4 linked regions of the Arabidopsis thaliana genome follow. The protein of the gene in region 1 interacts with the protein of each later gene in a pairwise test. Each region holds a gene or a part of one and is shown in the gene's direction. Other genes may lie near its edges.

What was found.
Region 2: the proteins of SUT2 (region 1) and AT3G05165 interact in a protein complementation assay, tested with the Arabidopsis thaliana proteins (one large-scale study listed by BioGRID).
Region 3: the proteins of SUT2 (region 1) and GLUR2 interact in a protein complementation assay, tested with the Arabidopsis thaliana proteins (one large-scale study listed by BioGRID).
Region 4: the proteins of SUT2 (region 1) and PUP14 interact in a protein complementation assay, tested with the Arabidopsis thaliana proteins (one large-scale study listed by BioGRID).

The regions. Positions count from the first base shown.
Region 1 is NC_003071.7:826,846-835,472, reverse strand, and holds SUT2 (sucrose transporter 2), read left to right. Parts: upstream 1-2,853; 5' UTR 2,854-3,176; coding exon 3,177-3,443; intron 3,444-3,951; coding exon 3,952-4,017; intron 4,018-4,164; coding exon 4,165-4,263; intron 4,264-4,364; coding exon 4,365-4,429; intron 4,430-4,522; coding exon 4,523-4,607; intron 4,608-4,699; coding exon 4,700-4,733; intron 4,734-4,842; coding exon 4,843-4,942; intron 4,943-5,047; coding exon 5,048-5,123; intron 5,124-5,406; coding exon 5,407-5,745; intron 5,746-5,873; coding exon 5,874-6,017; intron 6,018-6,114; coding exon 6,115-6,348; intron 6,349-6,439; coding exon 6,440-6,503; intron 6,504-6,599; coding exon 6,600-6,643; intron 6,644-6,759; coding exon 6,760-6,927; 3' UTR 6,928-7,194; downstream 7,195-8,627. Other genes in the region: ARPN (plantacyanin), read left to right, coding at 7,753-7,942. UniProt on the Arabidopsis thaliana protein: Responsible for the transport of sucrose into the cell, with the concomitant uptake of protons (symport system). Can also transport maltose at a lesser rate. May also transport biotin.
Region 2 is NC_003074.8:1,456,793-1,466,074, reverse strand, and holds AT3G05165 (Major facilitator superfamily protein), read left to right. Parts: upstream 1-3,157; 5' UTR 3,158-3,337; coding exon 3,338-3,478; intron 3,479-3,571; coding exon 3,572-3,634; intron 3,635-4,621; coding exon 4,622-4,711; intron 4,712-4,870; coding exon 4,871-4,930; intron 4,931-5,029; coding exon 5,030-5,095; intron 5,096-5,199; coding exon 5,200-5,265; intron 5,266-5,414; coding exon 5,415-5,490; intron 5,491-5,575; coding exon 5,576-5,640; intron 5,641-5,745; coding exon 5,746-5,838; intron 5,839-5,980; coding exon 5,981-6,061; intron 6,062-6,173; coding exon 6,174-6,258; intron 6,259-6,385; coding exon 6,386-6,429; intron 6,430-6,525; coding exon 6,526-6,588; intron 6,589-6,672; coding exon 6,673-6,732; intron 6,733-6,866; coding exon 6,867-6,920; intron 6,921-7,036; coding exon 7,037-7,096; intron 7,097-7,199; coding exon 7,200-7,559; 3' UTR 7,560-7,666; coding exon of another isoform or gene 7,667-7,788; 3' UTR 7,789-7,939; downstream 7,940-9,282. Other genes in the region: AT3G05160 (Major facilitator superfamily protein), read left to right, coding at 9,078-9,191. UniProt on the Arabidopsis thaliana protein: Sugar transporter.
Region 3 is NC_003075.7:16,786,408-16,795,082, forward strand, and holds GLUR2 (glutamate receptor 2), read left to right. Parts: upstream 1-3,123; 5' UTR 3,124-3,625; intron 3,626-3,862; 5' UTR 3,863-3,882; coding exon 3,883-4,141; intron 4,142-4,227; coding exon 4,228-5,576; intron 5,577-5,668; coding exon 5,669-5,946; intron 5,947-6,036; coding exon 6,037-6,068; intron 6,069-6,152; coding exon 6,153-6,547; coding exon of another isoform or gene 6,548-6,565; exon of another isoform or gene 6,566-6,576; intron 6,577-6,628; coding exon 6,629-7,054; 3' UTR 7,055-7,278; downstream 7,279-8,675. Other genes in the region: DAZ2 (C2H2-like zinc finger protein), read right to left, coding at 1,022-1,876. UniProt on the Arabidopsis thaliana protein: Glutamate-gated receptor that probably acts as a non-selective cation channel. May be involved in light-signal transduction and calcium homeostasis via the regulation of calcium influx into cells. Could play a role in calcium unloading from the xylem vessels.
Region 4 is NC_003070.9:6,830,293-6,836,257, forward strand, and holds PUP14 (purine permease 14), read left to right. Parts: upstream 1-2,032; 5' UTR 2,033-2,133; coding exon 2,134-2,176; intron 2,177-2,271; coding exon 2,272-3,410; 3' UTR 3,411-3,545; downstream 3,546-5,965. Other genes in the region: CNGC8 (cyclic nucleotide gated channel 8), read right to left, coding at 3,593-4,339, 4,419-4,767, 4,845-5,158, 5,255-5,467, 5,550-5,965. UniProt on the Arabidopsis thaliana protein: Purine permease implicated in ATP-dependent cytokinin translocation that controls the spatiotemporal landscape of cytokinin signaling. Depletes ligands from the apoplast, which leads to a suppression of the cytokinin response.

The DNA.
Region 1 (8,627 bases):
AAAGTGATTTTACGACTAATCCAAGATCCATCTTTTAAACCAATCTAACTTTATTTACTGTAGCTAGTCAATATTATCTTCCTAATGTCTCGTTCGTTATAACTTACACGAAACCGTATTATCCCATGACATTCACGAAACAATTGTTCGACAAAAACAAAGGCATGATGTCGAGAACCATAAACAACTATAGTACTCTTTTTTTCTTCATATATTTCAAAAAACAAAGCTAATGTTTCATCTACCATTAACCTAAAAACGTATTGTCATCTATTAATATGTCTCTTGAATTTGATCACATGTTGTTTGCGATAGCACATAGTCTCGATGTCCGGTCAACGAGACGATGTTCAGGGGATGATGCATTTTTGACTCAACTTTGTTATAATTGGACGTAGCTTCCGAACTTAATTAGTCGAGTTAAGGTTTCGCATATACTCCGTTCTATATGAACACTCTATATATGCACAAATCGGACCCAAAAAAAAGCAAGATGATGTATTGGTTTTGTTGGGACAATTAAATGACACAAAGATTTTAGAAAAAAAACCATTACAAATATATGCACAAACCATTGTTGCTTTTTTAAAAAATAGTCCACTTTTTAAATGATTTAATGAAGTGAGTGGATATAAGAGTTCGTAAAAGAGCTGTCTCCACGTGACGTGATTCTTTTTTATTTCTTCACGTTCTTTCCACATTTCTATCTTTCAATATCGATGGTTACATTCTCAATAATGATTAATGACCATTATAATTTTTCTTTATCAACTTTAATGGAGTTATTATGTGAAACAGTGTAAGCCCCATTCTTATGTATATATGTAAATATCACATTATAAATTATGATCTATCGACAGAGAACGACAAAATTGCCAACCAATCACTAAGTTAGAAAATTAAATTTATTGTAATAACGCATCTCTTTTTTTTTTTTTAAACATATAGTTTTTATATTATTAATATTTGAATTTGTCGTTTGAGAAATGACGAAGGAGTTATTTTCAGGCGTAAGCATTTGACGTGCTCGACGTTAAGGAGATGACGTGTTAAGTTATGGTACATATGTTTTTTTCTCTTTTATTTGGGTCATAGCCGCGTTCAACACGTGCTTTTTGTCAAATGTAATTACATGATTAAACTAAAAAAACTTATTACTGTTTTTCAATCAACTTATTAACCTTGATCTTTTTTATAACAAAATAAAAATAAAAATTGGCACATGATCAAATCATCAATCTCAAATAAGATAAAACCAAAGGTGTAATAAGGTTCATTTTTTTGTGGAGAAACCGAGTCAATGCTACCAAATTGCCTATATAGGCTTGAATTTTATGTAAATGCTTTTTTGAATGGAATAATCCGATTTTTTATTTTATTTTTTCTTATGTAAAATTATAACATGGTATAGATAAAAAATTTGTTTTGTAATAAGTGATATTTGGTCTAACGGCGCGTATGTATAGTTCTTTTACAAAAGTGAGTAATAGTGGTTTTCTGGTTCAAATACTATTGAGAATGGTATCAGTTTTGATGGACAACAAGTGTATGAGACTCGGCTATAACTTCTCAATTAACCATTAACCATTAAAGAATACAAAATTTGGATTTTCGACTATACTTTGGTTCGGATACATCATACATGCATGCACACCATAACAACTAAACTCAAAAGGATTTGTTTTTGAACTTTTGATGATAAGAAAAAGAAAAAAAAGATGGGACATAAGAGTCATGTACACGTGGATAAGGAAAGGAGAAGAGAGGGACAAGGGAAGAGATGGAGAAAGAGAGACGTAAGTATTAATTCAATTGTGTGCCCTATTAGCTTTCATTTTCCACAAGCAAGAATAATATTAATAATTATGTATCATCTTTGCATTTTTGTACCAATACATGATACATTTGTTAGGCACACGTCTTTTTCCTTTTTCCTCCTTTTTATTTCTAACTTTCTTCCTTTTATTCGTTTAATCCGGCTCTATCACGTTAACACACATATATGTTATATCATCTTTTTACAAACATGTTTACATTAGTTATTAGAAAATACATATACTTGTAATAGTGACATTGGTAAGAAGAACTCTATCACCTTCACAATCACACACATATATGTTATATAATCTTTTTACAAACATGTTTACATTAGTTATTAGAAAATACATATACTTGTAAATAGTGACATTGGTAAGAAGAAAAAAACACTATTAAATAGTGAAAAAATGTTTATAACTCTCTTAATTAACATTACTTATTATTGCTAGCACCTAAAATCTCCCACAAAATATTTGTTGTAAAACACAAATTTACAAAATGATTTTGTTTTTAAATTAGTAACACATGTTCATATATACGTTAATAAGAACATACCCTATATGATTTTATATAAAAAAATTTCTTTGAGACGTCTTATCCTTTTTTCTTTAATAATATGCAATTGTGAGAGTTTGGATTTGAATGGTAGCATTAGAAGCAAACTTGAACCAAACATATTTCATGAAGTCAAACTTGAACCAATGTAATCACTAATCACAGTGTTCGCAGTGTAAGGCATCAGAAAATAGAAGAAGGGACATAGCTATGAATCATATAATCTTGACACATGTTTTATAGGTTTTAGGTGTGTATGCTAACAAAAAATGAGACAGCTTTCTTCTAATAGACTTAATATTTGGGCTAAATGTACCACAGTTGTGAATTTCTTACAAAAATGGGCCGAGCTACAAAAAACTACAGGCCCACTCTCAACTCTTATCAAACGACACCGTTTTACTTTTTTAAAAGCACACACTTTTTGTTTGGTGTCGGTGACGGTGAGTTTCGTCCGCTCTTCCTTTAAATTGAAGCAACGGTTTTGATCCGATCAAATCCAACGGTGCTGATTACACAAAGCCCGAGACGAAAACGTTGACTATTAAGTTAGGTTTTAATCTCATCCGTTAATCTACAAATCAACGGTTCCCTGTAAAACGAATCTTCCTTCCTTCTTCACTTCCGCGTCTTCTCTCTCAATCACCTCAAAAAAATCGATTTCATCAAAATATTCACCCGCCCGAATTTGACTCTCCGATCATCGTCTCCGAATCTAGATCGACGAGATCAAAACCCTAGAAATCTAAATCGGAATGAGAAATTGATTTTGATACGAATTAGGGATCTGTGTGTTGAGGACGATGAGTGACTCGGTGTCGATCTCGGTTCCGTATAGGAATTTGAGGAAGGAAATTGAACTTGAGACGGTCACCAAGCATCGTCAAAACGAATCTGGTTCTTCGTCGTTCTCTGAATCTGCTTCTCCTTCGAATCATTCTGATTCGGCTGATGGTGAATCTGTGTCGAAGAATTGTAGTTTAGTGACGTTGGTTCTTAGTTGTACAGTTGCCGCTGGAGTTCAATTTGGTTGGGCATTGCAACTTTCTCTTCTTACTCCTTATATTCAGGTACTTACTATTACTCTTGTCATTGTTACCATTTCTATCACTTGTGGCTTTCTCTATAGCAATTTAGATTCGAGGGTTTTGTTCTTGTGTAGCTTTGTACGAGAAAGTCGAGTACTTTGTAGGTGAATCAATGAATTCTAATACTTAGGTTAGGTAGTTGTTGTCACCAACATAGCCATGAGATATTTTCGTATGGAACTCTATAGCATTGGCTTATCGAAGAGTATATGACATTGGAATTTAGCTAGATTGTTTATGTTCATTGGATTACATAAGCATTTGTAAAAATATAAAAGACCTTAGCCTTTTTCGGAACTATTGTATAATCAGAGATTAGACTGTGTTTAGAATAGTATTGTACTGGTCATATATGTATCAGGTGGGTAGTTATGGTGGTAGATAGAACTATTGTTAAATATCTGTTTGCTGGAAGTATTTTGATTTTCTTGTTGCTGAAGAACCCTTTTGAGTTTTATCTAACAGTGTTGCATTTGGTTGGTTGATGCAGACCCTTGGAATATCGCATGCTTTTTCTTCGTTTATTTGGCTGTGCGGCCCAATTACAGGCCTTGTGGTAGGTTAAAAGTTTCTTTAAGAATTTTAGCAGTTTTACTATCTTGCACGTAATGATCTCACGAGAGTTCAAGTTTTGATTTATATTGGATCAGAAACTATTTTTCTGCCCCATTTTGTTCATACTTATTTGTTTGTTGGGTTTTAGGTCCAGCCTTTTGTTGGCATTTGGAGTGATAAATGTACTTCAAAGTATGGAAGAAGACGACCATTTATTCTAGTTGGATCATTCATGATCTCAATAGCAGTAAGTGCCAATAGAAGATATGATTTCTGTTTTGATTTTCTTTTAGGAGATAGCTGGCTACATTGTGTTTTATATAAGCTAAACAAAAGCTTGCAATTTAGGTGATAATAATCGGATTTTCTGCAGACATTGGGTATCTGTTAGGAGATTCAAAGGAACATTGCAGGTAACTCTCCTGCTCCCCTGCCAATGGCATGTTTTTTATGGAATGTATCAAAATTAAAGTAACTGACGACTTGATGTGTATCTTGAAATGCAGTACTTTCAAAGGCACACGAACCAGGGCAGCTGTTGTCTTTATCATTGGGTTTTGGTTGTTGGATCTAGCAAACAATACAGTACAGGTTCAGATCTGCCTCTGCAATGTACTTGAGTGAATGGTACTAGTCATTACCTCTGTATCCAGGAATGATGTTTTCGGCTTTTTTATTTTCAGGGACCTGCTCGTGCTCTTCTAGCTGATCTATCAGGTAATAATGGAATATAACCATACACTTAACAGAACAGAATTTCTATTCAAACTCTAGAATCAGATTGAATATGCTGTGCTTCTAATGAGATGTCTCTTGCTGTCCCTAGGTCCTGATCAGCGGAATACTGCAAATGCTGTGTTCTGCTTGTGGATGGCTATTGGGAACATCCTTGGGTTTTCTGCCGGTGCTAGCGGAAAATGGCAAGAGTAATCTTTGAGATCCTTATTCTCAAAATCTTGTATTCTTTTTCCTCATTTGCAATTTTGCATTTTCCGCCAGCTGTTAAATGATCAGGCAATTTTACTGCGCAGATGGTTCCCTTTTTTAACTAGTAGAGCATGTTGTGCTGCATGTGGAAATCTCAAAGCAGCGTTTCTTCTTGCAGTGGTAAGCAGTATGTTTAATTTTCTGACACATGCATCTTACTAAGCTTTCTAAATTGCAATGGAATGGGCTGGTCTTTACGAAACACTCTCACGTTTGTACATTGTGACTTGTGATTCATATATGTCGCAAATCAATGCGTTCTGTTTGTATGTCTATATTATTTTTGAGGTGATTTTGAAAGTGAAATTATATTATTGCACCCAGTGGCTTTTGTTCTTGTTTCATAGTCTAAAATCTGAATATATTGTTCTATATGTTTTAAGAGTTTAAATCATTTTTTCAGGTCTTTCTCACTATATGTACTCTTGTCACAATCTATTTTGCTAAAGAGATTCCTTTTACAAGCAACAAGCCCACCCGCATACAAGATTCTGCACCTTTGTTGGATGATCTCCAGTCCAAAGGCCTTGAGCATTCAAAATTAAATAATGGTACTGCCAATGGAATCAAGTATGAGAGAGTGGAACGTGATACGGATGAACAGTTTGGCAATTCAGAGAATGAGCATCAAGATGAGACCTACGTTGATGGCCCTGGATCTGTTTTAGTGAATTTGCTAACTAGTTTAAGGCATTTGCCACCGGCTATGCACTCAGTTCTTATCGTCATGGCTCTTACATGGGTGAGTGCCAAAGAAAAATTATGATCAGTTATTACATATTTCACACTGTTTCTTTTCTTAAACTCTTTAATGATCTTTAAAATTATTTGCTTCTGTTATATTTTTGATTGTGGTCTTGTTCTTTGCAGTTATCCTGGTTCCCCTTCTTTCTGTTCGATACAGATTGGATGGGAAGAGAAGTTTACCATGGGGATCCAACAGGAGATAGTTTGCATATGGAACTCTATGATCAAGGTGTACGTGAAGGTGCACTTGGTTTGCTACTAAACTCTGTAAGAATCGTTATAATAACCTGTTTTTTAACTGCACTGCTCTTCAAAATTCAATTACTCGCCCGTTATTGAATATTCTTCTTCCCTGTTTCCGTAGGTTGTTCTTGGGATCAGCTCATTTCTCATTGAACCAATGTGTCAGCGGATGGGTGCTCGGGTTGTATGGGCTTTGAGCAATTTTACTGTATTTGCCTGCATGGCGGGAACAGCTGTAATCAGCTTGATGTCTCTCAGTGATGACAAAAATGGAATTGAATACATAATGCGTGGAAACGAAACAACAAGAACCGCAGCCGTAATCGTTTTTGCACTCCTTGGTTTTCCCCTAGCTGTATGTGCTTTCTTTCAACCGTAATTCTCTTTATTCTTTTCGTGTTGCAACATTTCTCTAAAATATGTGATAAAACCATTCTTTAATGCAGATCACATACAGTGTCCCTTTCTCTGTCACAGCAGAAGTCACTGCTGATTCCGGTGGCGGTCAAGGTCTGTGAAAAGATTCATATCTTCACTATATTCATAGTTTTTGTACTTAAATCTTAGATTTCAGTAATCCCTAATGGTTTCATTTCCTCACTCCAGGTTTGGCTATAGGAGTGTTGAATCTCGCAATCGTTATTCCCCAGGCAATCTCTCAAATCTAATTACACTGATAAATTTCATTCTCTTGTATAATGCCACTCACTTCGAGTGTAGTCTTGACCCGTAAATAGTGTCTGAATATGGTTTTGGCTCTAAACAGATGATAGTATCACTTGGAGCGGGTCCATGGGATCAATTGTTTGGAGGAGGAAACTTACCGGCGTTTGTTTTGGCGTCTGTTGCTGCTTTCGCTGCTGGAGTTATTGCATTGCAAAGGCTTCCCACGCTATCGAGTTCTTTCAAGTCCACCGGTTTCCACATCGGCTAAAATCTTTATACCACAGACATAAAATTCACAGTTAGATCTACCCGATTCTTTTTGACCACGTTCTCCTCTCGGCGTATATGTAAGTAGGTTTTGTACATCTAGTTTTCTTATATGTTATACACAGCAATGTGACTCTAAATTTACAGTACCTCTCTTCTCACGTAGAATATATCTTCGTTATTTTGAATCACTTTATATTTGTGTGTTCCTTTCCTCACAAATAGAAACTTGAAGCAACATATTCCAAACTCAATAGTCCAATCTAATAACACAATACTGTTGGTTCTTTAACCTATGATGTGTACGTTTTCCCAACATTACCATACTAATATAACAAAGCATTTCAATAAGAACACAAATTCAAACCTATTTTCGCCTATAAACTATGTACTAAAATCATAACCAAACTATATCTCCAATAGAAACAATGTGTCCATAAATAATAAATGCTCATATATCGTGGGTTGTTGATGACATAGTCTTTGTCCACAAGTTCCTTATTTAGTTGATATAAGCATTTTCAAAACAAAGAAACAAAATTCAACTTAGTGTAACAATGTCAAAACCAAACTCTTATCTTCAATAATGAGACAAAAGAAACCGAAGTTAAGTCTATAATCAATTTCTACATAGACAATGTGGCCAAAAATAATAAATGAACATATATCATGGGTTGTTGAGACACCCAATTTAATAAAATAAAAACATTGAATGTCTTATTTTCTTCTTCTTTAAAAACCCTTTGTACATTTACTCTTCAATTCATCCTCATTTACTCTCTATAGTTTCTCTCTCTTTCTCTAAACTTTCACCTAAGATCGATCAATGGCCAAGGGAAGAGGCAGTGCATCATGGTCGGCTCGAGCCATAGTGACTCTCATGGCTGTGTCAGTGTTGTTGCTTCAAGCTGACTACGTTCAAGCTGCAACGTACACGGTCGGTGACTCTGGTATCTGGACCTTTAACGCTGTGGGTTGGCCTAAAGGCAAACACTTTAGAGCCGGCGACGTTCTTGGTATATACTTCACATCCTTTTAATCAAGCTTCAGTAATTATTATACTATCTTGTTACACTTAAACCACAAGCAGTTAAGCTTTCTAATCTTCATATCCACTAGGGATGTATCCATATCATGGCTGCTTCTAAGTATGGGCAAGATGTGCTTTTGTATAAAGCACACGACAAATAAAAAACTTCCTATAGTTTAAAGGTTACAAATATGATTGATAAATGTTTTGCATACACAGTTTAAATAGTGTATATCTTTTACATGATTGAGCCTGTGATATATTTTACTATATTATAGATATGTATGTATACATCTTCCTTCTCCAAAATTTTTTTTCTAGTTTCGATTATTCACAAACGCTGATTTATGTGTATAGCAAAAATTCATGTGCGTTTAAATTTAACAAAAAATATTTTAAAATATCATAAATAGTACCACTAACCTAATTTTTAATTTATTTTGGTATACTTGAGTGATGAATTAAAATTGTTTTCGCATGAAGAAATATCTCAACCAACGTTATAGTATGTAGATTTATGAAATTCCTAAACAGTTCCAGCTACTTTATAATCTGAGTGTCAATATATGGAATCAATTAAGAGTGGTCGAGTAATCAATTATATGATTAACTAATTTAACGTTAGACCAAAAAAAAAAAATTATATGATTAACTTAAAATTTTATATTTTC
Region 2 (9,282 bases), on another chromosome or scaffold:
ACGTAGCCGACAAAAAAAACACAGAATCGTATCTCTTATGTTCCACTCATATGGGCCAAAGAAGTTAGCCCGGTAACAGATTTGTAGTCCAAGATGATGAGCCCATGTAAAATAAATGAAAGAAAAAACAAATGTCAGCTCATTTATAGTTTCTCAAAATCTGTTGGGCTTTATTTGGATTTTAGTAGGCCCAAATAAATGTAACCTCATAATAACAATTTGGTGTATATTAATAGTGCCTATTATAAATACAACACAAATTTGACTGAATCTTTAGTTTTGGTCGAATGATGATTATGCTCTGAGTACTATGGATCTTACTCACATTCAACTACAGTTCGCTATTCAAACATTACAAATTTACAATATATATGGACTAATTTTACAGACCACCACAATCTCATAATCAGTAAGTCATCACTTATCAATTACTCCATTAAATAATTACAGATTAAATTGTTATATACTGAAATTTTGGTATTATTATTTTTTTTTTTTGAAAGACCAAATGTACATTTTGGGAAAAAAAAAAAGAAAAAAAAAATCTCGGTCTTTTTAGACACTACCATACTCAAAATTTAAACTACATAAATATACATATATATATATATATATATATATATTCAGTGTGTGATATATACAAATAAAGTCTCTAATGATTTTACAAAAAGATTTTCAAGAAACAAGTGAGATATTTTTCGATTGATTAATTAGTCAAAGTACCGTTTGTAAGAAATATCATTAGACATGTCACTACTACGTACGTGCTCTAGAAAAGGGATATATTAGGCTTACCAAAATATCTTACATGTCTTGTTCCATAAAAATATGGTATATATAAAAAAAGTTGCGTTTGAAAGAAATCAACAACCTATAACAAGAAAAATAATAACAATAAATTTTGATAACCTTCAAGTTTTTAGATAGTGGAAATGTCTACGTTTCTTGTCCTTCTCAGTCTTGATTCCTTTCAGACCATTTTCTAATTTCAAAGAAATATTACGTTCATGACCAAGCCTAAAGGGTTAAACCATATGCTTAATATTTTCTATTTATAAATTTGTATATATTCTTCTTAATTATGGAACGTAAATTTATTTTTTCAGAAGTGGTCCTGCAAGAGAAGATTCATAGTGGATACAACAAAACCTAGTTTTTCTACTGAATTGGACCCGCTTAACGATCATGAAAAACCGCAAAAGGAACCAATATTACAACGAAATGTGTATGGGCGGTACAGAAGAAATGGACAATCCCATCAACACTATGCAGTAATAAGGATAGTGTCTGATGAAGATATCGATTGCCAATTCGTTATCATATTGTATTGACAAAAACTTAGCTACTGAGAATGATTACCAACGAGAAAAAAAAAACGTGTGATAAGACATGGGATGGGCATCCAAATTGGGTAGATTAAAATATGAGAAGGATGGGGTCTTATTTACTCACTTGTCCACCATGCTTTAATAATTCAGTAATCATTCATGCTAATTAACCCCACCCCATCTCCCAAACAAATCCATGTAATTGTCAACGATCGTGACGATACAAAACCATATGACGCAAAATAAATTATCATAACCATCATCATTATGTTGGAAACACGTTACACTATGCTATGCTTGACTTTACTTGTTATTAAGTGAGTTAGTTAACACAACTCCCGTTTAAAACTTTATAGTCTTCGATTCTCAACAAACTCCCATTTATATAGTCTTCACCGATAATATAAACAAAACATTAACATATATTATTCATTTATAAACCATTCTTTGTTTAAAAACAGATGTAGGTACAGTTTTTTCAATATTCTTTTACAAAAAGGTACAAATATCCTTTGTTTTACAGACTTTAGGTATGTATAATACTTTACCTCGTATTACAAATGAAACGATGATTATGGTTGAACGTTAGTTTTTTTTCTTTAAAATCAGTTGAACAGTAATAAAAAACAATATTGAGACCATTAGGTGGCCAATTTCTGTTTTTGTCTAGCATTAGTTGCTTAGGGTAAAAACAACTTGATCCACATTTTTTCCTTAAAGTATTTCCGTCTTAATTTTAGAAAATAATTGAATTTGAGAATCACCTAATTAAAATGTTTATATACATGTTTTGTTTTTAAAATAATACGACTTTTGAAATAGGATGGAGAAATTTACTCAATCTTCCCGAGTCTTCCTGATAATTTTTTATTTTTGGCAAAAATACTATACTTTGATTAAGACTTGCGTATGACCAAAATACTATATCAAATTGTCAAACTTTAGTGAACAATACCCGCTAAAATATTATTAATTTATTATGGCCTTTGTGAATAAATTTTGTTAAATGATTTGAGTAAAAAGAAAGTAAAAAGAGAACTGTAAATTTATTTAACGAACGGTAGCTAAGTACTCCAACGGTCATTTTGGTCAACCATAAATATAAAATTTTGTAAACAAAATTCTCACAGAGGTTTTAGATAAAACACCCATTAAAAATTAATTTAGGCTTTCTTGATTTGAGTAAAAATAATTTATAACAGAACTGTAAATTTAATAAATTAAAACAGCTCGATCGAACTGTAAAAGATTTAAAACAGAATTGTAAATTCGTTGGTAGATGCGCCCAACGAATATGTAGGTCAATTATTGAAGCCCATATTTTTTAATTTATTTGGTAAAACATTATAAAAACATGGTGATGTAGTTTAGTCATATTTATGTTGGCAATATGTAACACGTTGGACTAGAGTTATTTGGATACGCTTCAACGGAATATTTCCTTTGATTTTGGTCAATTTAATTCTGAGTCTGGTTAATCAGTTTTTTGTAGAAAAATTATAAAGTTTCTGTGATTTTTATCACTGGTAATGTTTATTTTATGTTTGATTTTTGTCTTTTATATTTTATAAACACATAATCTTATCTAAATATTAATTTTTCTCTAACATAAGAACTATTTGGAACAAAAAGAAAAGAACGTACAACTTGTATTGAGGACAGATAATGAGCTATATTCACTAGGATGCATTCAAAGTTGGCATTATTATCTTAATGCAAAGCGACAAACGAAACTCGAAATGATTAAATGATAATATTTGTTTATTTAAAATAAAATAAAAAAACGAAATCGTATTCTATAACAAACCAACTTGTGGAAATGATGAAGTGCTTCAACCCCACAAGTAAACTCTCTCTGATTCTCTCTTTCTCTCTTTCTCTCGCTCTCTATCTCTCTCTCCTCTGTTTGTTATATCAATTAATCAAGAAGATTTCTTGTGTTTTTTTTTTTCTGTTAAAGAAGATTTCTTGGGAGAAAATAAGGTGGATTGAAGGATTAGTCTTTAGGAATGGTGGTGGAGGAGGAGAATAGAAGCATGGAGGAAGGACTTCTTCAGCATCAAAACGACAGAGATGATCGTCGTATCACAGCTTGTGTCATCCTCAGCACTTTTGTCGCTGTTTGTAGTGCCTTCAGCTACGGATGTGCCGTCAGTTTCTAAAACTTCTTACTTTAGTCTTAATCTCTTAATTTCTTCTTAATTATTCGAACAATAATCATTATAATTTCTTGGATTTGATAGGCTGGTTATACTTCAGGCGCTGAGACTGCTATCATGAAGGAGTTAGACCTTTCTATGGCACAAGTATGTAATTTGTTTTTTTTTCATTTCTTAGCTTTTATCACTATAAATACTCAATTAATCCCTAATTAATTATGCTTAAAATGCATAATTACACCTGTTTATGAACTAAAACATCAGCTGCTTGTAAATCTTCTTGTATGGATTACTAAACTATCAGACCTAACCAGGTCGGTTATGAAGAAAATCAAATGGATAATCATACGCAATTACGTGTAAAGACGTCATTGATAAATTATAGCTTCGCTACTGAAAGTGAATTATTATTATTTATTACTATTATTCTATAATAAATATTATCTTACGAATTATTTATTTTATTGCGGTCCAAAGTTAACTATATTGAGAGACCACATGTACAGACGTTCTGAGAGATGCGTATGTGAATATTAGAGAGATACGTATTTTAATATTGGAAAATGAATATTTTCCCATATATAAAGTATTATATTTTTAAAAAAACAAAAGTGAATATTATGAAAATGCGATATGATAGCTGTTTTGTACTTGGAGAGATCAGAGATGCATTCATGCATATGTGACGCCGACACCGTATGTCATATTTGAACATGAGCAATATTAAAATGTTGTATATAGCTGTATTTTCAATTATATTAATAATTATTTCAGTTATCGAATATAGTTCTTCTGACAAATTTTAATATGATAGGTAAACTAATCAAAAGATCACACGATTTACTTACCTAACAAAAAAAAGTTAGCAAACAGCATAGCATTTTAATTTGAATTAATTTTATAATAATCAAATAGTATACGAAGTACTTAGAAATGTTTACAAAAGCTTTTTAAGTACTACTGTTGGAATTTTTGAAAAAAAGTTGAGGTATTTAATTCTTAAAAATTAAGTATTTGTGATTAGTAACTCTTTACCACACAACTTACTGCTAACTTTTTTCCACCATTTTATGTAATCGATAAGTATTTTAAGGCTAATTTTTCTCAATAACTAAATCACATTTTCTAAATCAGTTTTCAGCGTTTGGCTCCTTTCTGAATGTGGGAGGTGCGGTGGGGGCCTTGTTCAGCGGTCAATTGGCAGTCATCCTCGGCAGAAGACGAGTAATTGCCATTTTACCATATTTCTTAAATCATACTACTAGTAATTAGTACATCAAATTATGCACTTGTTTATTTTTAATACTTGTTTCTTTGCAATGATTTTCGTAGATTCTGATTGATATATATCTTTTTTTTTTGGGTGGTTATTAACGATTAAAGACGTTGTGGGCATGCGATTTTTTCTGCGTTTTTGGCTGGCTCTCCATTGCTTTCGCAAAGGTGTAAATCCACAGAAATCCTAAATTATTTTTCGATTAAAATAATTTTGCTCGTAGAAATATCTAATATATATATTTGAATAAATGTGGAAACAAAAAGAATGTCTTCTGGCTGGACTTGGGAAGAATTTCCTTGGGCATAGGAGTCGGCTTGATTAGCTACGTGGTAATTGAACAAATATTTACACCAATTACATTTGGTAATCTCATCTACATTTTTATTGTTTTAGTTCACATTTCTTAAAACCAACATTTTTATATTCATAAAAGGTCCCAGTCTATATTGCGGAAATCACTCCAAAACATGTTCGTGGCGCATTTACTGCTTCAAACCAGGTAAACTCTATTATACTCTTTTTATTTTTTATTTTTATAAAGTCTATTCTTTTATTTTATTTCTCTAAGAAGTTATTCAAATCTGTTACCCTTATTGCCTTATATATTTTTTTTCTATTGTAACAACCCAATGTTTTTTGGTTTTATAGCTTCTTCAAAACAGTGGAGTTTCCCTGATTTATTTTTTTGGGACTGTAATTAATTGGCGGGTTATGGCCGTTATAGGTAACGAAATACCTCGTTTACAATATTATTTCAATATCAACAAGTGAATTTTGTTGATCAGTTTCAATTTTATTTTCTGGTTCAGGTGCAATTCCATGCATCCTTCAAACGATCGGTATATTTTTTATACCGGAATCTCCAAGATGGCTGGTTGGCATTTCCTTTTAATCATTTCGACTATGAATTCGACATAAATATGTAAACGTTTTACTTCAGTCATTTATATATATTTTTTGTTGTTGTTGTTTTTATCAGGCTAAAATCCGTTTAAGTAAAGAAGTAGAAAGTTCTTTGCATCGACTTAGAGGGAAAGATACTGATGTTTCAGGTGAAGCAGCTGAAATTCAGGTATATATGTTTAAAAGAAATCACTCTCTATTAGTATATATTACTGTATTATTACTATTAATATTCTTTCTTTCTTTTGTTAAGTTATTAGGACACTTTCTCTATATGTAATTGTAGTTATATGCTTGTTTTACTTTTTCAGGTTATGACAAAAATGCTTGAAGAAGATTCAAAGTCTAGTTTCTCTGACATGTTTCAGAAGAAGTACAGACGAACTCTTGTGGTACGGTAACATATATAGGAAGTTAGGAACTAGGAAGGAATTTAGTGAAAAGGCTAATTATTTACTTCTGATTTTACAGTGATGAAAGTAATGATTTGTTTTGAATTTACAGGTTGGAATTGGTTTAATGTTGATACAACAATTATCTGGAGCTAGCGGTATCACATATTATTCAAATGCCATATTTAGAAAAGCTGGTTAGGATATTCATAGTCTTACTATTATTATTTATGAATTTATTTTGCTTTCATATAAATAATACTCGTAGGAGTTATTTAATACTACCTATTATTTATGTTATCTGTATTTTCGTCGTTTAAACAGGCTTTTCAGAGAGACTTGGATCAATGATATTTGGTGTGTTCGTGGTGCGTACCTTAAACTAATTGATTTTTTTTTTACGATATTAAATTTCTCAAAGCTATTTCGATTATACCATTATGATTATTTTTTACTCTTTGTAGATCCCAAAAGCTTTGGTTGGTCTGATTCTTGTGGATAGATGGGGAAGACGACCACTCCTATTGGTTAGAAAAATACAGTTTATATATAGACATAACAATATAACAGTATAATAATTATTAACATTATCTTGATAAACATTATTCTAGGCTTCTGCTGTTGGAATGTCCATCGGATCCTTGCTTATTGGAGTTAGCTTCACGTTACAGGTTACTCTTGTAGAATTTCTATATTGGACTAATATGAGATAACTATCAATATTACAATCCTCGCCTCTTTTTTTTTTGGACAAAACAATCCTCGTCTTATAATATGTTTTTTTTTTTGTTTGTTTCTGAGACAGCAAATGAATGTGCTTCCTGAATTGATCCCAATTTTCGTCTTCGTAAACATTCTGGTAAAATCTTTCATTTTCTTTCAAGGATTTATTCATTTTTTCATGCAAATTTTTATTTTTATTTTAAATTTTTGGTATTAACTTGTTATAAGAAATCTTAAATTAAATTTGGTTAGGTCTACTTCGGATGTTTTGCATTCGGTATAGGAGGGCTACCTTGGGTCATTATGTCTGAGGTAAATAACATATTTTAATTTATATAAATCATATAGTTAGACGTTATGAAAGAAAAAAAAAAGTTTACTGTGTTTTTTGCTGTTGTTGTTGTTGTTGTTGCAGATCTTTCCGATAAATATAAAAGTTTCAGCAGGAACAATTGTAGCATTAACATCATGGACTAGTGGGTGGTTCGTGAGTTACGCTTTCAACTTTATGTTTGAATGGAGCGCACAAGGTCTTTATTTTCTCTATTACTTTTTTATTAATTTGGATAAAACAATTTACCAAAAAAAGTTAAGAGTTATCTTTATAAAAATACACAAATCAAACATAAAGTTATTTAAAAATCGTGTTCGAATTTTGACATTTGTATCAAACAGTTTTAGATGTGCAAAATGTGCGGTCGGAAAATATCTCTTAGATTCACGTTTTCTTCAAATACTTTTAGCTTTTGTTTTCTTGTTTAGATTGGATGATTGAGTTTTTGTTTATTTATTTTTTATTTTTAGGTATATATTGTTAAATATACTTTTAAATTCAAGTAGGTCATTTACATATTGTTTATGGTATATATAATAATTAAATAGGAACATTTTACATATTTGCGGCTGTCGGAGGAATGTCATTCATTTTTATTTGGATGCTCGTACCGGAAACCAAAGGACAATCATTGGAAGAATTACAAGCTTCGCTTACGGGGACATCCTAAATGCACATTTATATTGTAATATACTATTAATTTTGTTTGGTAAAAAGATAAAATTTATTTTCTGTTGTCAGTCGCATTGCAAATAATAAATGTATTTTGTAACATTATTTGCATATTGATATTAATAATATTTTACATTTTTTTCCTTCGCAAATCAGTGGTTTATTTATCCTAGTTTAAGACAACAAATGAAGGATAGAGCAACGATCAGACGTATCGGACAAGTCAAGCATGCCAAACGATTTCAAAACAAAGCTAGCATAATCATAAAAGGATATATAATCAAACTGATACAAGTTTGAATTAGCATCGAAAGAGATGTCGATGAAAACATACGACTTTGACATAGTCACCTTACATTGTGACTTTTACCATAATCCAAAACCTCAATTCTCATTGAGATAAGCTTCGTCATAACTTCCGGTCTTGTAAAGACCTTTACACAAAATTGTAGAACAGTACTTAGGATGATGAAATATTCTTCGAAATTGAATCCGGAATGATACCTCTCATGGAGAAGGAGTTTGAAGGAAGAGTTCTCTCCTCCAAAGAAGAGGAAGTGTACATTGATCATTCATTGTCTTGACAAGAGGAAAATTGGACAAACTTCTCACAAAAACCGGAAGTTGGACAAACTAACCCAAAAGCTAATGTATATGTCAAAGAATTTGAAAAGCTTGTTTACCTAATCGGTTTTTGGGTAATATTTGAACCGAACCGATATCCATGATTCAAAAAAGAATCCCACTCGATTATTTTACTTTTGTAATTAAACTGATCGCTCTTTAGAGTATTTGGTTTGGGTAATATGTGTAGAGTATAGATATGTAAAGGCTAGGACTGTCATTTAATCTCTCTTGTAATCTATATTGTACTTAACCTATCTAATAGAATCATTCAGTTCCCTATTCTACAATATGCTCAGAATTAATGGAAACTCACATTTAAATTATGTGTAGTTTTAAATTTTTGGCACTGAGGATTTTGTCATATCTGGCTAAGTACATTATGATGGTTTATTCTTATGATTCAAATATTTTTATAATTGTTAGGAAAAAAAGATCTAGAGCAAGGCCACTGGCCACTTGTGCAAGTCAATAAGTGCTTGAACCCCACGTGTAAACTCTGTTTTTCTCTATCTATTTTCTCTCTCTATTTTATCTATCTTGTCCTCTCCTCTGTTTATAATCAGCAAGATTTCTTTTTGTTTATTAGAAGATTTTTGGAAAATTAATATATAAAGAGAGGAGAAATTAAGCGTAAGAGTGGTGGCGGGGGAAAATAAAAGCATGGAAGAAGGACTTCTTCGGCATGAAAACGACAGAGATGATCGTCGTATCACAGCTTGTGTTATCCTCAGCACTTTTGTTGCTGTTTGTAGTTCCTTCAGCTATGGATGTGCTGTGAGTTTCTTAATTTCTCTCTCTACTCTTTTTTGCCATCACCACAGATTTTTATCGGATGTTCCCGAAGGGACTTTTTCACCCATTATCC
Region 3 (8,675 bases), on another chromosome or scaffold:
TCACGCGCCTGTGATTAACACGAGCCATGTACTAGAATCAATCAAGAGCTAGGGAAATTCATCTTTGATATAAATAAATCTCACCAGAAGATTCTCCTTGTTGTTTTTGATGTATTTATATACCAACAAGCATCGCTGTAAACGATAGTTATTGTTATTAAAAAGAGTTAGTAGTTGAATATTCACGAAGGTTGTGTGTCGCACTAGCTAGCTCGATAATTGTTTGAAGGACAATTGATTTAATATTTGTTTAATAGATTCGAGAAGATTAATTGAAAACTGTCTCGGATTAGGGTTCGTGCATGTTGTAATTAGTTCCGCGTGTTTACCTATAATGCATCTGAATCTTTAGACTAATAATTTTCTTTAAGATTCAATCTTTATTTAAGCATTGTTTATGTTAAAGCTAGCTGGTGAAAACAAGGTTATCTTAGATATAAGTAACACTAAGATTCTCTAGCGGAATAAGATCTAATCTATATACGATAGAATGGTAAGAGTTTTAAGAAAATAATTAAAAATAGAATGGTTGGAGTCTTGGAGATCGTGGTGAGTTTGAGATCAAGTCAAACAACGAAATTTGGCAAGAATAATACTAATTAAGCTTCCGTGAAATTAAAATGTTTTCCCTTTTCTTAGTTGGCTTAAATTTTACAAAACGGCTCAATATCTGCTTATGAATTTCATGTTTTAAGAGATCAATTCTGTTCTCTAGTATTTGGTTGGATATACGTTTGAAACTTTCTTTTACATTTTGGTACAACACAAGTTTTGTTTTCTTTCTTGATTCAAGTGTTTTTTTCTTTTCTTTTCTGATCTGATTCAAAATTAATTAATATACCAGAAAATCAGTGCATTTCGAAAGCACAAAACTAAATATTTTTCTTTATTAAGCATATATATAGCAGAATATCCTACATACGTTATACTTATCATCAAATCACAACATGTACATTGACCTATTAATTAGAAGGAAACATCCAATATACCTACAGACATTATATATATATATAGATACTAATTAGAGTCCTAACCTAAGATCTAAACAACACCCTGATGTGTCCGAAGTAGAAAGATCCTGTATTGTTGGAGGAACATTCAAATCCAAAGCACCACTGATCATCGGCTCCTCCTCCTTTTCCCAATGACATCTCATGTGACCTCCTAAAGCTTGACCACTCGAGAACACTCTAAAACAGATATTACACTTATGATGCCCTGAAAACGTAAGGATTTTTCCCTGATGATCATGCCCACTAGAAGTAGAAACCGTCATAGGATCATCGGTTACGTTTGTGATAGCGAAACAGCCTTTAACGTTTTTATGACTCGCTCTGTGTCCTCCTAAAGCCTGATGTGATCCAAACACTTTCTTACATCCTCCACACTCGAACCGTTCAATACTCGATGATGATGGTGTACCATTAGACAGCATTAAGAGACAAGAAGCGACTTCATGGTCTTCCTCGGACATAAATGAGACCCAATTTGGTAATATCTGGTTTAACTGTTTTGAAGAAGCCGCGGTGGGCACACGGTAGTTAGGAGGAGGATTAATGCCACGCCATTGACGCTCAGGGTGACATCTCATGTGACCAAAGAGAGCCTTCCAAGACCAAAACTTTCTGCCACATTCAGTACATGGACGTGTGATTTTGGGGGCATTTGGGTCTGGTTTTTTGGTGTATTTTGGTTTTGACGCGGATTTTGGTGAAGAACTAGAGGATGAAGCAACGGTTTTGGTGCGTTTCTTCTTAGGACTGTGATCGTAGCTTGAAGATAAAGCAAACTGGAGATTTGGATTAGGGTTGCTTGTGTTAGAAGGATGAAGTGGAATGTGAAAACTGCGATCATCATAGGAATGATTGTTGTTCATTGTGAGCACGTAGAGGAAGTGATGGAAGAAAAGTGGGAAAAAAAAGAGTAGAAGTTAGAGAAAGGGTTGCTTAAGTAGAAGAAGAAGGAGAGGTTACGTGGGAAAGAAGTTATGGAGGAACAGGGAGACAGTTAACTTCAGTTGAGGAACAGAGCGGTTTACTATGTAAGGAAGAGACTTATCTCTTTGCAGTTTGAAACCACCACGTTTTTTATGTATCAGTTTTGCTGCTTATTATTTGTTGGCCCAAGTTTATCTTTGATGGGCCTTATAATACTAGAGTTCATTATTTCTTATGGGCCTTATAATACTAGAGTCCATTATTTCTGATAGGCCTTATAAATCTTGCGTCTATTATTAAATTCTAAGCCTATGCAAGAATATTGAAGCAACAAAATTCCAAAGCCAACAAAATTCCAAAGCCAATTGGAAGATTTGGAAAAAGTAAAGATTTTAGTGGAGTTTGAGCTTCCATTACTCAATTTCGGTGGAGGTTCCACACTTCCACAGAAATAAAATCGCCACTCTCCCATCCCATGATTCACACTATTGAAATTGGACATTTGATTACGATTTGTTTCCTAGATTATTATTTTTGTTTCTATATCCGTTAGATTTTCTTTATCGTGCGTTTTCTTATCTTCCTGAAACATTTAAATAATAACAAGAATTGTTTTTGGTATAAGTAAACTTGTCTCTCTTTTTTGGTAAGAAGGTTTAAGGTTGCCTATATAGGACAACAAAATCAGAAAATGCCATAAGCATCTGTAATTTTTATTGGTTTGGGGTAAAAAAAGGTTACAAATAAAAGAATGGTCCAACAACATACATTCATTTTTGGAGTTATGTCATATGTGGAACATGGGAAGATGTTTTAAATACCTGAACCAAATAATATTCGAAATATCCAGACTTTCTCATTGTCGCATGAAAGACCACAAAATATAATACTATTACTTTTCAAAAAAGAAAATGAAACAATAAAATAAATTTAAAACAGTCATTGGATCAAGGTATAACGGAATCCAAATACAAGTATAATATATAATTATAAAATACTGATTCAATAATCAAAAGTATAATCATACAACTCCATGACGCAAACGATTAATGGTCCCAAAGATGATTTGGTTAATTATCTCTTTTTTTGGGTTAATGATTTCACTAGCCAATAAAAGATTATAGACTACCATTATAGATTATAGTAAGGAATAATATGTTTCTCATCATCATCTTCTTTACTTTGGCTGGGAACCAAAAGGGTCACTTCGTCACTTGCAAACAAAACAAAAAGTTTTCATTTTTCACTGGAAACAAAACTTACAAGTTAAGAAGTTCACATTTTTCAATCGATAATGGCTCATTATCTATGTCGACAATTATGGTTAGTCTATCCAATTTCCTTCTCTAACTCTTTTTTTCTTAGCCTGTAAATGTGACTAGTGCATGAATTCTGATTGGAAGTAATCAAATCCCACCAAAAAGCTTACCACTTTCCTAAATCTTCAAGCAAACCCATGATTTTACTTTTGTCAGTTTACCTCCTTTTTGTTTATTGAAGACCTACTCCTTCCTTTTTTCAGGTTTTTATATGTGTACTCCTCTTGCTTGTTCCTCATGCTTTCTTTCAGCTAGATTTTTCATGTGCCTGACGAATCTGCTTTTCTTTAAAGGATGATTTTGGTTTGGGTTTGGGTTTTGGCATCTCTGCCACTCATTTCTTGACAATCCTTGTTCTCTATGTTTGAGGTAAGGGTTTAATCCTCGTGACACTTTTTCAGTTCTGGTTAAAGTCACTTTCTTTGCTTATCTTCCTTATTCTTTTTGTTTCATTAGAAGTTTCTAGCTTTCTCTTCCTATGTTACTCTTTTTAAAAAAATCCCATTTTGATTTGGTGAAGTGGCTCACAATCTCTCATTTTGTGATTCTTAAAGTTTTTGGGAATTTTATCTAATTGTTGTTTGTTTATCAAACTTGGTGTTTCAGGAACTGATTAAGCCAAAGCTATGTTTTGGGTTTTGGTTCTGTTGAGCTTCATTGTTCTTATTGGTGATGGGATGATTTCAGAGGGAGCTGGTTTAAGGCCTCGTTATGTTGATGTTGGAGCAATATTCAGTTTAGGGACTTTACAGGGTGAAGTTACAAATATTGCTATGAAAGCTGCAGAGGAAGATGTAAATTCTGATCCTAGCTTCCTTGGTGGATCAAAATTGCGTATAACGACGTATGATGCAAAGCGTAATGGATTCCTCACCATCATGGGAGGTGAAAAAAAGATATGATCTTGTTTCGTTGATTCTTGTTTTGGAACTAAACTTTTACTTATCCTTTGTGTTGGTTTTATTTCACAGCTTTGCAATTCATGGAGACTGATGCTGTGGCTATCATTGGTCCTCAGACATCAATAATGGCTCATGTACTGTCTCATCTTGCAAATGAGCTTAGTGTGCCTATGTTGTCATTCACAGCTTTAGACCCTAGTCTCTCGGCGCTTCAGTTCCCGTTCTTTGTCCAGACAGCACCTAGTGATCTCTTTCTGATGCGTGCCATTGCGGAAATGATAAGTTACTACGGTTGGTCAGAGGTGATTGCATTGTATAATGATGATGACAACAGTAGAAACGGTATAACAGCTTTAGGCGATGAGCTCGAAGGAAGGCGCTGCAAGATTTCATACAAGGCTGTGCTTCCTTTGGATGTGGTGATTACGAGTCCTCGTGAGATTATAAATGAGTTGGTTAAGATTCAAGGGATGGAATCTCGGGTAATCATTGTGAACACTTTCCCTAAAACAGGTAAGAAAATCTTTGAGGAAGCCCAGAAGCTTGGCATGATGGAGAAAGGCTATGTTTGGATAGCTACAACTTGGTTGACTTCTCTGTTAGATTCTGTTAACCCGTTACCTGCCAAGACTGCTGAATCTCTTAGAGGCGTGCTTACTCTTCGTATTCACACGCCAAATTCAAAAAAGAAAAAAGATTTCGTGGCACGGTGGAACAAGTTGAGTAACGGGACTGTCGGTTTAAACGTTTATGGTCTCTATGCTTATGATACTGTCTGGATCATTGCTCGAGCTGTTAAGAGACTTCTAGATAGCAGAGCTAACATTTCCTTCTCTAGTGACCCAAAGTTAACCAGCATGAAGGGAGGAGGGTCACTGAATCTAGGTGCATTGAGCATATTTGACCAAGGATCACAATTTCTTGATTATATTGTGAATACAAATATGACTGGTGTTACAGGTCAAATACAGTTTCTTCCTGACAGATCAATGATACAGCCCTCATATGACATCATAAACGTGGTTGATGACGGGTTTAGGCAGATAGGGTATTGGTCTAACCATTCCGGGCTCTCTATTATACCTCCAGAGTCACTATACAAAAAGCTTTCAAATCGTTCGAGCTCAAACCAACATCTGAACAATGTGACTTGGCCTGGTGGGACTTCTGAGACACCACGTGGTTGGGTTTTTCCTAACAACGGGAGACGATTGAGAATCGGTGTACCCGATAGAGCAAGTTTTAAGGAGTTTGTGTCAAGGTTGGATGGAAGCAACAAAGTGCAAGGGTATGCCATTGATGTCTTTGAAGCTGCGGTAAAACTGATTTCTTATCCGGTTCCTCATGAGTTCGTCCTATTTGGAGACGGTCTCAAGAACCCAAACTTCAATGAATTTGTCAACAATGTCACTATTGGGGTGAGCAAAAGAATCAAGAAAATATCATTTCTCTTACAAAGCATTGTCGAAACTGACTGTAATAGTTGTGAGTTGTTCATTTCTGCTTTCAGGTATTTGATGCTGTTGTAGGAGACATAGCTATTGTTACGAAACGAACAAGGATTGTGGATTTCACTCAGCCTTACATAGAATCAGGGCTTGTCGTGGTTGCTCCTGTCACAAAGCTAAATGATACTCCGTGGGCGTTTTTACGCCCTTTTACACCTCCAATGTGGGCTGTTACAGCAGCTTTTTTCCTCATCGTTGGATCAGTAATATGGATTCTTGAACATAGAATCAACGATGAGTTCCGCGGACCTCCAAGGAAACAAATTGTTACTATTCTCTGGTTAGTAAACAGTCACTGAAGTTGCATTTTATCAATATGTTGGCACATAACATACCTAAAGACCTCATAAGCTATGATCTATGTATGCAGGTTCAGCTTCTCCACGATGTTTTTCTCCCACAGTAAGTTACATCTAAAAACTGCAGCTAAGTTACTACTGTATAGGTGATGATATCTCCAACATCTTTATGCTACTAAACTTGCAGGAGAGAACACAGTGAGTACACTCGGTCGTGCTGTTCTGCTCATCTGGCTATTTGTGGTACTAATCATAACATCAAGCTACACAGCGAGTCTTACATCGATTCTTACAGTGCAACAGCTAAACTCACCAATCAGAGGAGTAGACACACTCATCAGCAGCAGTGGACGAGTTGGGTTTCAGGTAGGTTCTTATGCAGAAAACTACATGATTGATGAGCTTAACATTGCCAGATCCAGACTTGTACCACTCGGCTCTCCTAAAGAATACGCTGCAGCTCTTCAAAACGGAACTGTTGCTGCAATTGTTGATGAGCGTCCTTACGTTGATCTCTTCCTCTCAGAATTCTGCGGATTTGCCATTAGAGGCCAAGAATTCACCAGAAGTGGCTGGGGATTTGTGAGTACCTTCATTTAAAACTGTCTCTGCGGTTTGTTTGAACATTAATCTTGATCATCTTTTTTGCGGTTTTGTTTGTAGGCATTTCCAAGAGACTCTCCATTAGCAATCGACATGTCAACCGCGATCTTAGGTCTATCAGAAACCGGACAGCTTCAAAAGATCCATGACAAGTGGCTTTCAAGATCTAACTGCAGTAACCTCAACGGTTCAGTGTCAGATGAAGATTCAGAACAGCTTAAACTCCGAAGCTTCTGGGGATTATTCCTTGTGTGTGGGATCTCTTGTTTTATCGCTCTCTTCATCTACTTCTTCAAGATAGTCCGCGACTTCTTCCGCCACGGCAAATATGATGAAGAAGCCACAGTACCTTCACCAGAAAGTTCACGTTCTAAATCATTGCAGACATTTCTAGCTTATTTTGATGAAAAAGAAGACGAATCCAAGAGAAGGATGAAGCGTAAACGAAACGATGATCTTTCTTTAAAGCCTTCTAGACCAATATGACAGATCCATCAAGACTCAAGCATGAAAGATGAAGAAATGCAGACACACATACCTCATACTTATATAGTAGAATGCAGATTTTGATTTTAACTGTACTTCAAGAATAAGCCTTGAAGAATACGGAACATTTTTTAACCAAAGAAAGTGAAGCATTAACTTGTAAGACAAAGCTATATCATACATAGTTCTTAAAAAAAAGAATTACTTGGTATCCTTTTTATCTTCCAGTTATGTTGCATACCAAAACTGTAAAAACTAGAGGTGCCAATCCGGATTAGGCAGTTTAGTTGCTAAACCGACTATATCCAAACTCGGAAGCTTTCCAAATGTACCGGTTGGTTTTTACTTTTTATAGGATAGTTAGTGGTTGCTGATTAGCCATTGAATCAAATTAGTCACACTAATCACTAAAAACATTTATAAACTCAAACAGTTAAAAACTTGGCTAGTTTTCTGTCATATACTACTATTATGTAAATTAAATACTAAGAAAAAAAAACTATAAAAACAATCTCAAAAAGAAAAAAAAACTTTCAAAAATCTGAAGAGAAAATATCAAAATTCGAATAAAAAACTTGGATACTTAAAATCTACATAAAAATGATATAAAAAATATTGAATATTTGGAATCTCTAACGACTAATGCTGGATCCAAAATCCGGTTAGTTATCAATTTTTATATAATATTATGAAAATTAAATATCAAAACAATAAAAAGATAGAAAATAAAAAATAAAAATAAACCTTAAAAATCCAAATACAAAATATCAAAATTTTGAAAAAGCAATATAAAATTCGAATTAAAAATCTCGATATTAAAAATCTATATAAAGATGATATGAAAACAAGTTGAATGTTTGGAATCGCTAACAACTAATGTTGGTTCCAAAATACGATCAGTTTCATACATCATTATGCAAATTTAGTGTAAAAAAAAACCTTTTAAAAATCCGAATATCCAAATTTACATAAAATGATATGAAAACAAGTTGAATGTTTGGAATCGCTAACAACCGAGACTGGATCCAAAATCCGCTTAGTTTCAAATATCTTTATGTAAATTTAGAATAAAAACAAAATAAAAAATAAAAAAAAACTTTAAAAGTCCGAAAAAATTGACTTAAAAACTTGGATACTAAAATCTTCATAAAAAATAAGAAAACAAGTTGAATGTTTGGAATCGCTAACGACCGAGGTTGGATCCAAAATCCGGTTAGTTTCATATATTTTTATGTAAATTTATAATTAAAAAAAAAAACCGGAAAAATTGACTTAAAAACTTGGATACTAAAATCTACATAAAAAAAATGAAAACAAGTTGAATATTTGGAATCGCTAACGACCGAGGCTGGATCCAAAATCCGGTTAGTTTCATATATCTTTATGTAAATTTAGTATCAAAACAAAACAAAACAAAAAAACGTTTAAAACTTTTAAAAATCCGAATAAAAAACTTGGATAATATATCTACATAAAAATGATATGAAAACAAGTTGAATATTTGGAATCGCTAACGATCAAGACTGTATCCAAAATCCAGTTAGTTTTCATATCATCGTTATGCAAATTAAAAATCCGTGAGAAAATCGATTTTTGGGAGGAAAAAAAAAAAGTAAATAAG
Region 4 (5,965 bases), on another chromosome or scaffold:
TGTTATATTTGGATTGATCAAGAAAAGGGTTTTACTAGATTGCCTCTATGATCAAAGAATAGTCTAATAATGCAACTATGCAAGTATCGTTCTTAATACAAAATCTTTGCGTCTCAAGTTGGCATTGTCATTGAAAGCCTGTCGAAATGCTCTCTAAAGAAATTTTGCTTAATTGGAGTTTCAATGCCAAATCCTTCTTTGTTTCTATGACCATAGGAAAATTTAGCTGGATTGATTAAGAATTGGGTTTTACTTTATTGCCTTTGTGATTAAGGAATAATGTAGTGATACAAGTAAGGTTCTTAGTACTAAATCCATGCTTGTTGAGTTGGCATTTTCATTGAAAGGTATTTCTAAAGAAGTTTCCTTAATCGGTGTTGCAATGCCAAATCATTGGTTGCCTCTATGATCATCGGATCATATGACTGGATTGGTCAAACAGAATGGTTTTACTTTATTGGCTCTATTATCATAGAATAATGTAGTGATGCAAGTTAAGGCTTTTAATACCAAATCCTCACTTCTCGAGTTGTGGCATGTTCATTGAAAAGCCTGTGGAAATGCTATCTAAAGAAATTTTGTTGATCAGAGTTTCATTGCCCCATAGCGTTTTAGTACTGAAACTATAACAAAAGTCTAAAACTGGTATAGATGATGATATGCCGAAATGTATAATCCATGAAGGTTAGTAATAGTTGCTTTGTCTGTGTGAATTCAATTAACACATGACAGATTATGCCTACTTAAGCTGGACAACTGTGGCTAGGCTGCCTCAAGTTGATTTGGTGATATGCTGTGTTCTTTAATTATGGGTCCAGTGTAGTTGATAGCTTTTATGCCTATGGGTCATATGGGTGTTCTAATGGGTGTTCTATTTAAGAAGTTTGCGTGATCACAGTTTCAAATTCAATGCCCCATAGCGTTTTAGTTCTGAAACTATTGTACCGATGATGAACCGGGGAATTCAAAACACATGTCTAGAACTTATATAGATGAGTAATCCATGAAGGTTTAGTAATAGTTGTTTTGCCTTTGTGAATCTATTAACACAGTAATAGGTTATGCCTACTTGAGCTATTGCTCTGGACAACTTTGGCTGCTTCAGTCTCTTGGTCAAGACATGCTAATTTGTTAAGTATTAAAATGTTATTTTAATTACGGGTCCAGTGTATATTTGAGAGCATGTATGCCTATGGGTCATAATGGGTATAGCGTCGTGGAAACAGTGTGAGGACGTTTATATAGTCAAACGAGGCAATTGTGTACATAGAGATTTTGTATGATTCTTAAGTAAAATGTGTCAAATGAGCACCAAGGAAATTGCCTTTGTTTGTTACCCTTAATCTCTTATTTTGTAAAATCCAAACTTTCGAAGCTCATTTGGTTGAAAAATGATCAATGTTACGTTGAACAACATTGAATCTGAGTTCAAAATTTGTTTAGTTATTGCAAACAATTTGATTCGAAGTTCAAGTTCATTCTAATCTTGCACCTTTGGGATTATATCTTGAGCATTATAAAATGTCATATACCAAAATCCTTACATGAAGTATGATATTCTAAGATGAAGTCATAAGAAGACACGCATTTAAGAGAGTATCATATTACAAGTAGTGAGCTGCCAAGTGGGCATCGTGTTAGTTCAAAATTTCCGAAACGTAGGATGTTGGATAATCCCAAAGGTCAAACCCCCAAAACAAACAAAGTCAATATAACTTAAACTTAACTATACCATTTCCTTATATAACCTTCGAACCATAAATCCAATTCGGAATATTCGTTGATAGAAAACAATCAAGATTCAAAACCTCAAATATTTCTCATCATCTTTTGTCGATTATTGCTTGGATTTTGTAAAGACAAGAATAAGTTACTTCTAAGTGTTGTTTACACACTTTTTTGGATGACGAAACAACCCGGAACAAGTTGAAAACGACGACGCGTAGACATGAGGCTCGCTTGATTGACCATTACGCCGCCAGGGTAGACTTTTCGTGCCCATATATAATAAACCCTTCTCTTTCCTTTATCCCACAACATCATCCACTCCAAATATCACATATTACCAAATCTAATCGCCGACATACATTGAACTCAAATCCGCTCAGAATCTCCGACAATCAGTTCCAATCCATGGCTCAGAATCAACAACCTATTTTCCAGACCAAACCTCCAGGTAATAATAAGAATCAACAAACCAGATCTCTCGTTTCTTGATCTCCTCTTCTTACAAAACAATTTGATTCTAATTTCCTCTGTTTCTTTTTGCAGAACAATTTGTGCAAATACCTATCAACATCGAGCGTGATTCTTCAACCACACGCATGAACCAAACCGGAAACACAATCCGGAAACCAAACCACTGGCCAACCATCACCATCTCAATCATCTTCGTCATCATCGGTCAATCCATAGCGAAACTCCTCGAAAACTTCTACTACGACAAAACCAACCGAAGCGAATACAACGAAAACCGTCAAAACGATGGCGTTTGGACTCAATCTCTTCTCCAAACTGTTGGTTTCCCTCTCCTTCTTCTCCCGTTCCTCATCTTCATCACCAAGAACAAACGCAACCACCATCAACAACCTCCGATCACTTCCGATTCAATCCACTTAAAATCCTTAGCTGTGATCTACATTTGCATCGGAATTATCATGTCCGTTCAAGGAAGACTCGCAGCCATGGGAAAACTCGAGATCCCATTTGGTGTTTTCACTCTGATCTACACAGCACAGCTCTTCTTCACTCCTATCTTCGCAGCTTTCATTAACAAAATCAAATTCAATCGATGGGTTGTTATCTCTGTGATCTTAGCTATCATCACCGGAGCTCTTACTCTGTCTTCTTCATTCGGTGGTGAGCCTGATGAAGCAGAGGAGAATTACGCTAGAGGCTCATGGGCTGCTCTGTTCGCTGGAATCTGTTTCGCTCTTCTTCTCTGTAACATCCAAAACGTCTTCGACAGTTACATCTTCAAACGAACTGAATCAACCAATCAAAAACCAAGCTTTGCCTCTGTTTTCGAAGTTATTATCTTCTCTTCTCTCGTTGCTACGATCATCTCCGTCGTGGGTCTGCTTATAGCCGGTGAGCAACACGATTTGAAGAGGGAAATGAATGGATTCTCGAAAGGGAAAGGTTCTTATGTGATGGCTATGGTTGGTCAAGCTGTTTCGTGGCAGGTCTATTGGGTTGGGATTGTTGGACTTGTCTACTCTGTTTCGAGCGTGTTGTCGAATGTGATCAGTGTCATTACGTGGCCGATTGTGTCGGTTCTTGTGGTGATCTTCTTCAATTTCATGGATGATGAGTTTGATGCCTTCAAAGGTGTTGCCTTGGTTACTGCCGTCTTAAGCGCTGCAGCTTATTTCTTTAGGCTTCACAAAGACAATCGTATGGCTTATTAGGTTTGGATTCTTGAATCTCTAAAGAAAGTTTTTTTATTTCCCTTGATTTTTTGTGTGTATATCTAATCATATATTCTAGGTGTTTATCTTGTGTAAGTGTAAGTGTGTAACAGCTTTGGTTATAGATGTAAATTTGTATGTTTTACAATGAAAATGTTTGGAAGTGTGCAATCTATAAGTACTTAGTTCAAGTCATCTGTATCAAGAGCCTCAAAGTCAGGTTCTGATGGCTTTGTTAAATTCATTAAACTCTTTGAACTCTCGGTGACCCTTAGTTTATGACCCTTAAGCGCGTTAGCAGCAAATCTTGATGCAAATACCGTGGAACGTAATGTAGAACTTGATCCAACAGAACTATCACTCCTTGTAACCATACCACCCATATTATCATCATAATATTCATCATCTTCATAATCCATTTCTTCTTCTTCTTCTTCTTTACGTCTAAGCTCTGCGATTTTCCTTCTTAAATGTCTACGCCAAGCGGCTTGGATGAAACAAGCAGCCCAAGTCCTCCATTGTTGAGAGTAAAACCTGAAAGTTTGTTGAACCTGACGACTGTGAAGACGCCTGAACTGACTAGCCACAAACTTGAGCTCTTCCGCTTCTAAAGCGAAAGCCTCTACTTCAGTTAGAGCCTTCACTGTTCGTGTGGAAGAAGGTAAGTTTGAGCCTGCTTTAGGGTCAAGTGCCCAAGTCAGAAGCTCTTCACCACAAAAGTCACCTTCTTTCAATAAACCTCTGTTAAAGAAACCGCTTCTTCCACCATCTGTTGTTACACTCTCTAACCGGCCTCGGATTATGAAGAGCATTTCGTTAACCGGGTCTCCTTCTCGCACTATGTAAGTGCTCTCTGTGTATAGACTTGGCTTTAGTCTCTCACATATTGCGTCTAGTAATCTCTCATCCATATTAGCAAACAGAGGAACCTGCAAAAAAAAGAAAGAACATTGTTCCTTGTGAATGAAGTGTAGGATCTTTAGGCAATTCACATTTCTGAAAACTTACCCTGCGAACTAAATTTAGACAGAGATGGCGTTTGATGTCTCTTCTAAGATCTTTTGGTAAACTCTGGACTATGTTTTCTTCGTCGACTCCTCTTGTTTCCAACCATTTGTATTGATCATAACGTCTGACTCGTTCCCTCAGGTTTTGTGGAAGTGACCTGTGATGCATCCACTGTTCGGAATCACGTCTTTTAATCCTCATTTCCTCTAAGCGAACCGTAAGTGACTGAAGATAAGTTTGCATATTCCCAATGAGAAGAGCAAACAAAAGAAGTCCAGCTACAGCAATTGCAATTGAAAACAAAACTTCTCCTGGATATGTACTTGTTTGCAGCCCTTGACCTAACGTGCTATACAAGAAAACACCCAAGTCAATAAAATTGCACCACAGTCTAACAGCTATTCATCGATTTTCCAAGGAAGGTACCTGAGATTTTGGAGACCCCACCATAGACAATAACAAAACTTGGAGAAAAACGTTGTCGAAGATACAATACCGGAAGACACAGCCTGGCTATAGATCCCGTAGTTGAATTTAGACTCATCGCTTTTAGCAGAACAATTGTTCTTAAAAAGATCAGGGACTGATTTGATCCAGTCGGTTTCGCGACTGCTCATTAATTTGCTGCCACAATAAAGAATCTGAACACAGACCTTGGGATCAGGCTGGACTTTACAAGCGGATCTCAAGCATGTATCGTTACGTTCCACTGACAACATGTACCAGAACGCTCCAGTTATCTATCAAAGTATAACAACATTTCTTAAAAACAGAACCAAAAAAAAAAACAATAGATATTTAACCTAGTGCTGATGGATGAATTTTGAAATGCTTACGTGACTTGCAAGCATATACCAGAGGAGGTAATAAGCAGCACCAGCCCAAGCACCTTCAGCGAAAGCTCCTGCTGTTTTCTTGAGCTCTGAAGTTAATGGAATAAACCTAACGAATCTTGGTATGTACTGTGTGATGACAATGTGTAATAGCGCCTGTTTTGTTGGTAATACATCTGTTCCTTTAGATCCGTGAAGAAACTTCCACACAGCAATCTGCATCAACACCACCAAGAATCATCTATTCAATTGAAAACAATGCACAAAACAAAAAAGATTGAAGCGTTTTATTAACTACCTGAGGTAAAGGAAGAACCGCGAGGAAATCGACAATGAAATAACGAGTCAAATACCGTTCAGCGATCTTTGCAGGGTCGATCACAAGCTCACCTCTTCCAAACACACGAGAAGAAGGAGCAATGTAAGCGGTACGGAACTGAAGAGCCATTCGTGTAAGATAAAAAACATCGATGATCGTTCTTAGAGTAGTAGTTGTCACAGCTAATTTAGAGTCAATCCCAATGCAGTTCTTTGAGTTATCGACAATAGGGAGATAGAAGAACAGAGGATCAACAGAGACAGCAAGAATGCAAGAGATAACAAACATTCTGTTCCATAATAAAAGTGTTTTGTCTTGAGGATCAAAGATTTTCTTCTCGGAGACTCTTAGATCTTCAGGGAAAACAGCTCTTGTTACACCTGATGTGAATGATT